Linked DNA regions of Canis lupus familiaris. The protein of the gene in region 1 purifies or fractionates together with the protein of each later gene. This does not show direct contact. Links are inferred from orthologs where the notes say so. Each region holds a gene or a part of one and is shown in the gene's direction. Other genes may lie near its edges.

Region 1 (4,030 bases):
GATCAGCATCAGTTGCTTTATAAAACTAAATCTGTGTAATATAGTACATTGTTACCTCAAAAACTAGGATAAAGAACTGAACTTTAAATGTGCTGTTGTAAATAGTGAGCATTTTGTAATGACCATTTTTTTCCTGTGTCTTATTGACAGGTGCCAGTCTTTAGGCCCATGGACCTAATGGTTGAGGCCAGTCCACGAAGAATATTTGCCAATGCTCATACATATCACATCAACTCAATTTCTATTAATAGTGATTATGAAACATATTTATCTGCAGACGATTTACGGATTAATCTTTGGCATCTGGAGATCACAGACAGGAGTTTTAGTATCCATTTGGTTTCTTTTTTTGGTGTTTGGTAAAGAAGGCATGTTGTGCCCATACTACATTTATTTTCATCTCTCCTTTTATTTATTCTCTTTATAGTAGCTTCTTACTTTATGCCCCTTTTTCTTTGTGTTTAAGTGACTAGACAGTGAGGGAAGTTCTTTGATAAAGAGCATAATGTATTAATAGGATTCTTAGTATTTTAAGTACTATTAGACTAAGTTTAGTACTTCATACTAAGTACTTTGCTATGATACCGTGTATATTAAATACTGTTATACCTATAAAAATAGGCATTTTTTTAATGGTTGAGTTTTTTATAAAACAAATTTATGGAGTACTATTCATTAAAAATGTAATTACAAAAATATTCTTAGTAGAGTTACCAAAGAAATTCATATCTGTTATGAAGTGTTTGCAGTTATTATTGCTAGTGTTACTGTTTTATGTATTTTTAAGTAGACATCATTTGAAAAATCAATAGTTTACTGTAATTTATACTCTATCCACAGTATCTAAAAGAGCTTGTTTCTGTGTAGCATTACCAGTCTAGTTAGTGGAAAGTCCTATTTACTAACCATTTATATATTTTTTTGTTCTTTTCTAGTTTTTTTAATTGGGTTTATATATATTCTTTTTTTTTGGTGGGGGGTAATTCTTTTAAAGCACCTTTTTTGTTATTAAATGAATCCACTCCTTTGTGGTGCAGATAGGTTCCCCTTTTTGCCCCCTTAAAGTTTTTTACTTTTGTTTTATTTGGAATGTACACTAAGTCCTATTAATATTTAGGAAAATAAACTTACCAGTCTTTTCCTTATGGCTTCTGAGATTTGTATCATACTCAGAAAAAAGGGCCCCTCTTTTAATTATTTTTTTTTTTTAGGCCCCTCTTATTTTAACATGATTTCTTCTGAGGTTTTTTTTTTCCCCAAGCATTAGAAGTTCTGATTCCTCTGGGATTTATACTCCTATAAGGAGTAGAATCCAATTCAGAATGAATATTTGTGTTTAAGTTTATGAATGAATTTTAGGTTTGAGAAATGTAGAATTATATTGCCCTTTTTCTTAAGTGGAAATTCCTTAATAAAATGCTATTCAGATATTGTGGATATCAAGCCTGCCAATATGGAAGAGCTAACTGAGGTGATTACGGCAGCAGAATTCCATCCAAACAGCTGCAACACGTTTGTATACAGCAGCAGTAAAGGAACTATTCGGTTATGTGACATGCGGGCCTCTGCCCTCTGTGATAGGCATTCTAAACGTAAGTATACTGTGTCTTTTTTTCAAGTGCTGTTTTCTGTTTTTGAAACTGTGACTAACTTAGATAGGTTTACAAGTCTAAAAACCTGTGTGCGCAGGGCCTCCTGTACCTTTTGGTAAGCTTTCTGACTCTACATGAGACATTGTATGTTATTCTACTGGAAGAACATAAAAGGCTTTCTTGGGAGCATGTCTGTTGATGTCTCAGTGGATATATTTTTATTTTTATTTATTTTTTTTTTATAAGAATTTTTTTTTAATTTTTTTTTAATTTTTTATTTATTTATGATAGTCACAGAGAGAGAGAGAGAGGCAGAGACACAGGCAGAGGGAGAAGCAGGCTCCATGCACCGGGAGCCCAATGTGGGACTCGATCCCGGGTTTCCGGGATCGCGCCCTGGGCCAAAGGCAGGCGCCAAACCGCTGCGCCACCCAGGGATCAAATGGAATGTTATTTTCGAGTAACTTGGGGTTGGGCTTTCCAGGTCTCAAGTAAAGTAGTTCTTTTCTTCCCTCCTAACCTCCCTTCTCTATTTTCCTCCCACCCTTTCTTTATTGCTTTCTGTTTTGAGCTTTCTAGGAAGACTTTTCTGAGAAGAGATTTCCTTGGTTTAAAAAAAAAAAAGTTTGAAAAAGCACTGGGTTAAAAAATTAAGGGGTTGCATTATTATTGTCTTCATGTTGTTGAGTATTTTTTAAATTCATGGAAATTGGTACATGTCTGTTACCAAAACAGTTCTACCTGGCCATAAAAAAAAAATAAAATGTAAAAATAAAATAAAATGTGGTATACATTTGGGTGGTGTGTTCCCTTGTGGTGACAGTACAGGCAAAGTCATTGAGGTATATACAGAACAAACCCAGTGCACTTTGAAGTCCGAAGTCCTGGATGTGCCTGGTTCTGCTAAATCAGCTGTAGGCCCCTGGAGCATACTATATATACTTTGTATCTTTGAAGTCAATGTTAAGTCATTCCCCTTAAGAAACTTACAGGGAGGTTATGTTCTTATAGTCAATGTTTTTCAGTTCTGTACTAGCCTATCATCTCTAGCTCACTCTTAGGAGGTTTGTGAATGGTTGTCTCAGCAAGGGCTTTGTTGAAGCCAGAATGTTCTACAACTTGTGTTTTTTTTTTTTTTTTTTCTTGTTTTTAGTGTTTGAAGAACCTGAAGATCCCAGTAACAGGTCTTTTTTTTCTGAAATCATCTCCTCGATTTCCGATGTAAAATTCAGCCATAGTGGTCGATATATGATGACTAGAGACTATTTGTCAGTCAAAATTTGGGACTTAAATATGGAAAACAGGCCTGTGGAAACATACCAGGTATTTATAGTTTTTTCTTTCAATTAGCATATACCCTATTTACTTCTAAGTCTTTATAGAGGAGGATTTTGTACTATGCATTAATCCCAATACTGCATGGTTGACCCTTAGGCTTTTTCTATAATTTGTGTTGTCTCTTCAGTTAAAGTGTGATATTGCTACCAGTTTGGTTCAATATTGACCATTTTTTCCCCCACCACTGTCTACATTAATTTTTTTTTTTTTTTAGATTTTATTTATTTATTCTTGAGAGACACAGGCAGAGGGGGAGAAGCAGGCTTACTGCAAGGATCCCGATGTGGGACTTGTCCCTGATCCTGGGATCATGCCTTGAGCCAAAGGCAGACGCTCAACCACTGAGCTACCCAGACTCCCTATCTACATTACATTTAAAATGAGGAGGGAAAGTACTCTCATAAGGTCTAGGTGGGGAAGAGAATTAGGGAGAATGGCCAGTCCTAGTAGAGATGTCCTGGTTGGAATATGTGGAATAGTTGAACTAGAGCTTATTAATCTTGGCATGCCCAGTGAAATAGACTGGCATTCTGCCTTTTGGCTCTTAAGCTAAAGGAGAAGAGCTTGAAAGCCCAGAGGATGGCTTGAGTTGTTTAGCTGTCGGTTGTAGAATGTTAGTTCAGCCAGCCACACTACCATTGATTCCCCTATCCTTTTCTTCTGGAAAAGAGAATAAAGAATAAAGACATGCACAGCCAGGGACAGGAGCCCAGGTGGGGGCAAACAGAAGCCTGAGGTAAGCCCTAGACTACAGTGTAGAAGACACTTGAACACTGTGTAAGAATACAGAATTTATAAATGGTATCTTCTTTATGTTGTGTGTTTTCCATAAAATAAGAATGATGTTTCTCAAACTTTTTAATCCTCTTTGACAAACGTAAACTACTTAAGACTCTACCTTAATGGTATTTGAAAGTTTAAAATAAGTGCTATGTTGAAACAAAAGCCAAAGGGATACATCCTGCTTTGTTTTCAAATTACATTTGTGTAACTTCCAAGATTGTGATCTGTGTCCTGGGTGGTTCTCACTATCACCGCCACTGCCACCACCACCCCCTGGTTGCCATTGTGAATAATTGATTTGAACCTAACTTCATAGT
Region 2 (4,474 bases), on another chromosome or scaffold:
TGCACAGGGTGCCCCGCACTTCCCACCCTGGGTGGGGTGCAGGGGCCTGATGTCTTCAGCCCCATCAGCAGACAGCAGGGCGCAGGGGCCCTCACCCAGGACTGCGGCCCAGCCTGCGCTCAGGCAACGTTGCGTCAATTCATGCCGTCAGGATCTCGTGCTCTATTTAAGACGTTTTTCCACTAAGAAATTATTTTTACAAAACCTCCCCTGCTTTGCACTTTTAGGGTTTCGTTTCTTGCATGTAAACTAGGAAGTACTGGGACGCCTGGTGGCTCAGCAGTTGGGCACCTGCCTTCGGCCCAGGGCGTGATCCTGGAGCCCCGGATCGAGTCCCACATCGGGCTCCCGGTGCATGGAGCCTGCCTCTCTCTGTCTCTCATGAATAAACAAAACAAAACAAACTAGGAAGTACTTGTGGTCCTAGGCTGTCCGCGAGCCGCTGCCCCCCCTCCTCTTCCCTCCCGCCCACCGCTCTGACTCCTACCTGCACCCCTCTTCTCAGGGCCCCTCTCCCCTCCTCCTCGCCCCTCCATCTCATTTCCTCCCCTCCATCCCCCTCCTCTCCTGCCCTCCCTTCCCCTCCCTCCCGTCCTCTCCCCTCCCTGTCCTTTCCCTCTCCTCCTCTCCCCTCCCCTCCCCCTTTCCCCCTCCCTGCCCTCCCCTGCCTTACCCTCCCCCTCCTGCCCTCCCCTCCTCCTCCTTTCCCCTCTCTCCCTCCCCCCCTCCCCTTTTCCCTTCCTCTCCTCCCTTTCCCCCTCCTCCCTCCCCATCCTCTCCCCTCCCCTCCCCTCCGTTTCCCCCTCCCCCTGCCTCCCCTTCCCTCCTTGCCCTCCCCCCCTCCTCGTCCTCCCCTCTCCTCCCTTTCCCCCTCCTTCCCTCCCCGTCCTCTCCCCTCCTCTCCCTTCCCCTGCCCTCTGCCCCCTCCCCCCCCCCGCTCCTGCGCAGGCGCGCCGGGGCCGCGCGCGGAGACCTGGGAGCGGGCGGGGCGGGCGGGGGTGTGGCCAGCGCCGGGCCCCAACGGCCGACGCGTCCGCGCGGGAAGTCTCGCGCCAGGCCCCGCCCGCGGTTTGAACCGGAGGCCCCGCCCCCGCGCTCGGCCAATCAGCGTGCGGGGCGGCCGGCGCCTGGCGACCCTTTGTGGGCGCGGAGCGGCCCCGCCCCCCGCGGCCCCGCCCCTCGGTCGGCGGCGGGCTCGGGCTCGGGCTCGGGCTCGGGCTCGGGCGGGGACGGCGGGGACGGCGGGGACGGCGGCGGCCAGGTGAGCGGCGGGCGGGCGCCCCGGGTCGGGTCGGGGGCGGGTCGGGGGCGGGTCGGGGGGGCCCGCGGCCCGGGGGTCGCCGCGCGGCCCGGCCCTGCCCTCCCGCCGAGCCCACCTGCGCGCCGGCTCCTTGTCCTTTGTGTCCCGGCCTCACCGCTTCGAGGGGCCTCGGGGCGCGGGTGCTGCGGGCCGGGCCGGGCCGGGCCGGGCCGGGGCGGGGCGGGGGCGGTCAGCGGCCCGGGGCACGGACTTTCTGGGCAAGTTTTGCCGTGTTTTCCACCCGAAGCGGAAATGCAGGATGCAAAGTCCCGCTTTAGCATCTCCCGAGAAGGAACCGTGTCTCGGAAGGGCGCCAGGAAGTGTCCCCCAGCGTCCGGACCGGGTTTCCAGGCCCAGACACTGTATTTCACCCCAGGCCCAGGAGCAGCAGCCGCGGCAGACGCCCCGCGGGGACCCCAGGCCCTTCTGCAGCCGCCCTGCCTGCCGGTCTTCTGGGATGACATATTTCGGAGACCGCCTGAGCGTGTGACCGAAGCGTTCACGTTATTTTGCCTGAAAGACCTGAGTCAGGAGCGAGCTTGCGGGTGGCTGAAGGTCGTAGGGATGCGCCAGGTCAGGGCCGAGGCTGCCCCAGGCCCCCCAGGCTCTGCCGGCAGCCTGGGCTGCTGGGCACATACGGGAGAGCCGCTGCAGGACGGGGAGGTCCCCTTTGTCTTGGGGGCGCCCTGACGGATGGGCACAGCACCCCCCAGGCCCCACCCGCCACGCGGGACCCCTCCCGTGATCTCTGCTCCATCAGCCCTTGGTCTGGAGGCTGCTGTGCTCTGACCTAGGGCTGAACACCCATGGCCTGCTTGTCCCCTGACGTTGGAGGGTTTGGAGCAAAACACCCTTAACCTTGAGGAGGTGATGGGATTGAACTCCGCAGGACCCTCTGGCCGCGTGTGGGGGGATGGAGGTAATACCAGCGCTTTCTTGTTCAGAACTGAATGGTGAGTCTGGGTCTGCAGTTAGGGCAGCCTGGGAAGCGTGGGGTCTTGTGTGCTGATTTCGAAACGTCCAGCCCCAGGCCACTGTCACGGGCTGCCCCAGGAGCTGTAACTTGGACCAGCCCGGCCCCGGGGGTCTGTGTGCCCACCTCGCGCTGACTTTGTTGTGAACACGACTGTGTGGGGAGGGTGAGGCTCTCCGGCCCCCTTCAGCCTGACGCATCACCTCCACACAGGCTCTGGGACCCTCCATCGGCTCCTGGAATTGGATGTGCTGCCCTCCGGCTACTCCTTCTGAAATCCTAATCGGCTAGCGCTTGCTGGTCCCGAGCGTAACAAAAATTAACAGTTGTTCAGGGGTTGGAACATCAGAAGGGAATAATTAGAGTGACTTTGAACACATACTTGTCCTGGCATGCCGAGTGAGATCCAGCGCTTAGTGATGCGCGGGAGGCACTACCTAAAATGGTTTCAATTTAAATGAATGTGGTAGCCTCCCCCGTCAACTGGATTCTGTATTTTTCTTTGTAACCAAGGTATCATTTAGTTAATACAATGCAGTGGGCAGTTAGTAGTTGTGCAGTTGTGTGAATCTGACCAGGACCATGCACCTGTCTAGATAGGGTGCATTTCCATCATCCTGGAGACCTCCAGACCATCCCTGCCCCTCCGTTGGCAACCATTCTGCTATTTTACACCTTAGGTTAGCTTTACCTCTTCTCGAAGTTCATGTGAACAGAATTATAGGGTACCTGTTTCTTTGTTCTTGCTTTGTGATTAGGCGTGGTGTCCGAGGTTTGCTCTCGTTCCGTAGATCAGCGTGAACTTTGTTGCTGGATCGTGTTTGGTTGTCAGACATACCACAGCTTACATGTTTGACTTGCTTATTTTGAATCTGAAAATAATGTTTACACCCGGGGTGGTGAACTGGGTTTGTGGCAGGAGTATGGAGCAGGGATAATGGGTGAAGTGGTGGTGGTTGGGGGGACTTGCCAGCAAATGTGAGGAAGTCCATACAGAAAATCCTGGTGGAGAGTGAATTGATTCTGCTTCTTAGAAAGCAGCTTGATAATGTGGATCATGTGCCTGTCAATAAAGCCCCAGGTCGGAACCGAGCATCACTGTAACTGAGGAGATTGTGAGTGGTACAAATGCAGGGAGTAAGGCTCAGTTCCTGCGCTGTGTTTATCCTGAGGGTCGGCTTTTGCTGACATGGAAAATGCAGTAACCAAGAACAGCTCGCAGTGAGCTCTCATGCAGAGAGGAGGCTGCTTAGGGAGATGCTGGGAAGAACCTGTGTGGTGACTGCTTCTCTGATGAGTCGGCCACGGTGATTTTTGTCTTGTACTTTCTGATGTTCTTCCCAATTATGTACAGTAAGCTGCGGAAACAGGGGAAGGCGCCTGCATGAGAAGAGCAAAGGCTGTTATTGGAAGTGGCTGCCACCAGGGATTGGGCCACCTTCTGGCTTGCAGAAAGACACTTGGGGACAGGCAGGGGAGTCGGACTGGAAGGGCTTCCAGGGCCCCTGATGGGGTTGCAGCCTGAGGAGCCAGCCGCCCTGGTGGCTTTGTGGGGGGAGCACGTTTGGATTTCTCTAGGAGGTGGGGACAGATACTAGGAAAGCTGTCTGTTATTGATGAAGTCCAGACCCTTGAGGGTGATTGTTACAAAAGTCATTGGTTTCCTGGCCTGTCATGGAGATAGAAGTTTGACTTCCTGGGCCGTGTTAACCTTGAAAATGAAAGTTTGTTATTTCACTAGCAAAAAATGGGTTTATTTGGGAATAACAATAGCAGTTCAGGGCGTAAAAATTAGTAAAACGATGCCTTTTAGAATGGCATCAGGAGGCGGGCAGGAGGAGCACTCACTCCCACCACTCACTGACCGCTGCAGACCCCACAGGAAGGTGCGCCCCTTGCTCCTGAACACACTGCTACCTTCCCAGCAGGACAAAGGAAGGTTTTCTCCTGCCCTGGCAACAGCCCAGCCAATGGGAGACTGTCCCGGCCCAGCCAATGACAGATGGTAAACCGGCGTGAGGCTGCTGTGGATCCGAGGAAGCGGAGGGTGGCGAGGGCGGGGGGGAGCCGGGGGTACCCTGGGCACATTCTGGTGCTCGCTGTGGCCCCCGCCTCTCCTCTGGGCTCCCGCGGCTGTTGCTGCGGCTGCGGGTGTAGCCGGTGCCCGGTGCGCACTCGGGCTCTGGAAGCGGACTGTAACC

Evidence for each region.
Region 2: the proteins of PPP2R2A (region 1) and CDCA4 purify together in Homo sapiens (affinity purification with mass spectrometry; 4 studies listed by BioGRID and IntAct, with this or other methods). This does not show direct contact. The link is inferred for Canis lupus familiaris from reciprocal best matches to the Homo sapiens genes PPP2R2A and CDCA4.

The regions. Positions count from the first base shown.
Region 1 is NC_049246.1:31,374,859-31,378,888, reverse strand, and holds part of PPP2R2A (serine/threonine-protein phosphatase 2A 55 kDa regulatory subunit B alpha isoform), read left to right. Parts: intron 1-150; coding exon 151-328; intron 329-1,427; coding exon 1,428-1,592; intron 1,593-2,745; coding exon 2,746-2,915; intron 2,916-4,030. UniProt on the Homo sapiens protein: Substrate-recognition subunit of protein phosphatase 2A (PP2A) that plays a key role in cell cycle by controlling mitosis entry and exit. Involved in chromosome clustering during late mitosis by mediating dephosphorylation of MKI67.
Region 2 is NC_049229.1:72,871,947-72,876,420, reverse strand, and holds the start of CDCA4 (cell division cycle-associated protein 4), read left to right. Parts: upstream 1-1,516; 5' UTR 1,517-1,552; coding exon 1,553-1,873; intron 1,874-1,939; exon of another isoform or gene 1,940-2,250; coding exon of another isoform or gene 2,251-2,253; intron 2,254-4,474. UniProt on the Homo sapiens protein: May participate in the regulation of cell proliferation through the E2F/RB pathway. May be involved in molecular regulation of hematopoietic stem cells and progenitor cell lineage commitment and differentiation.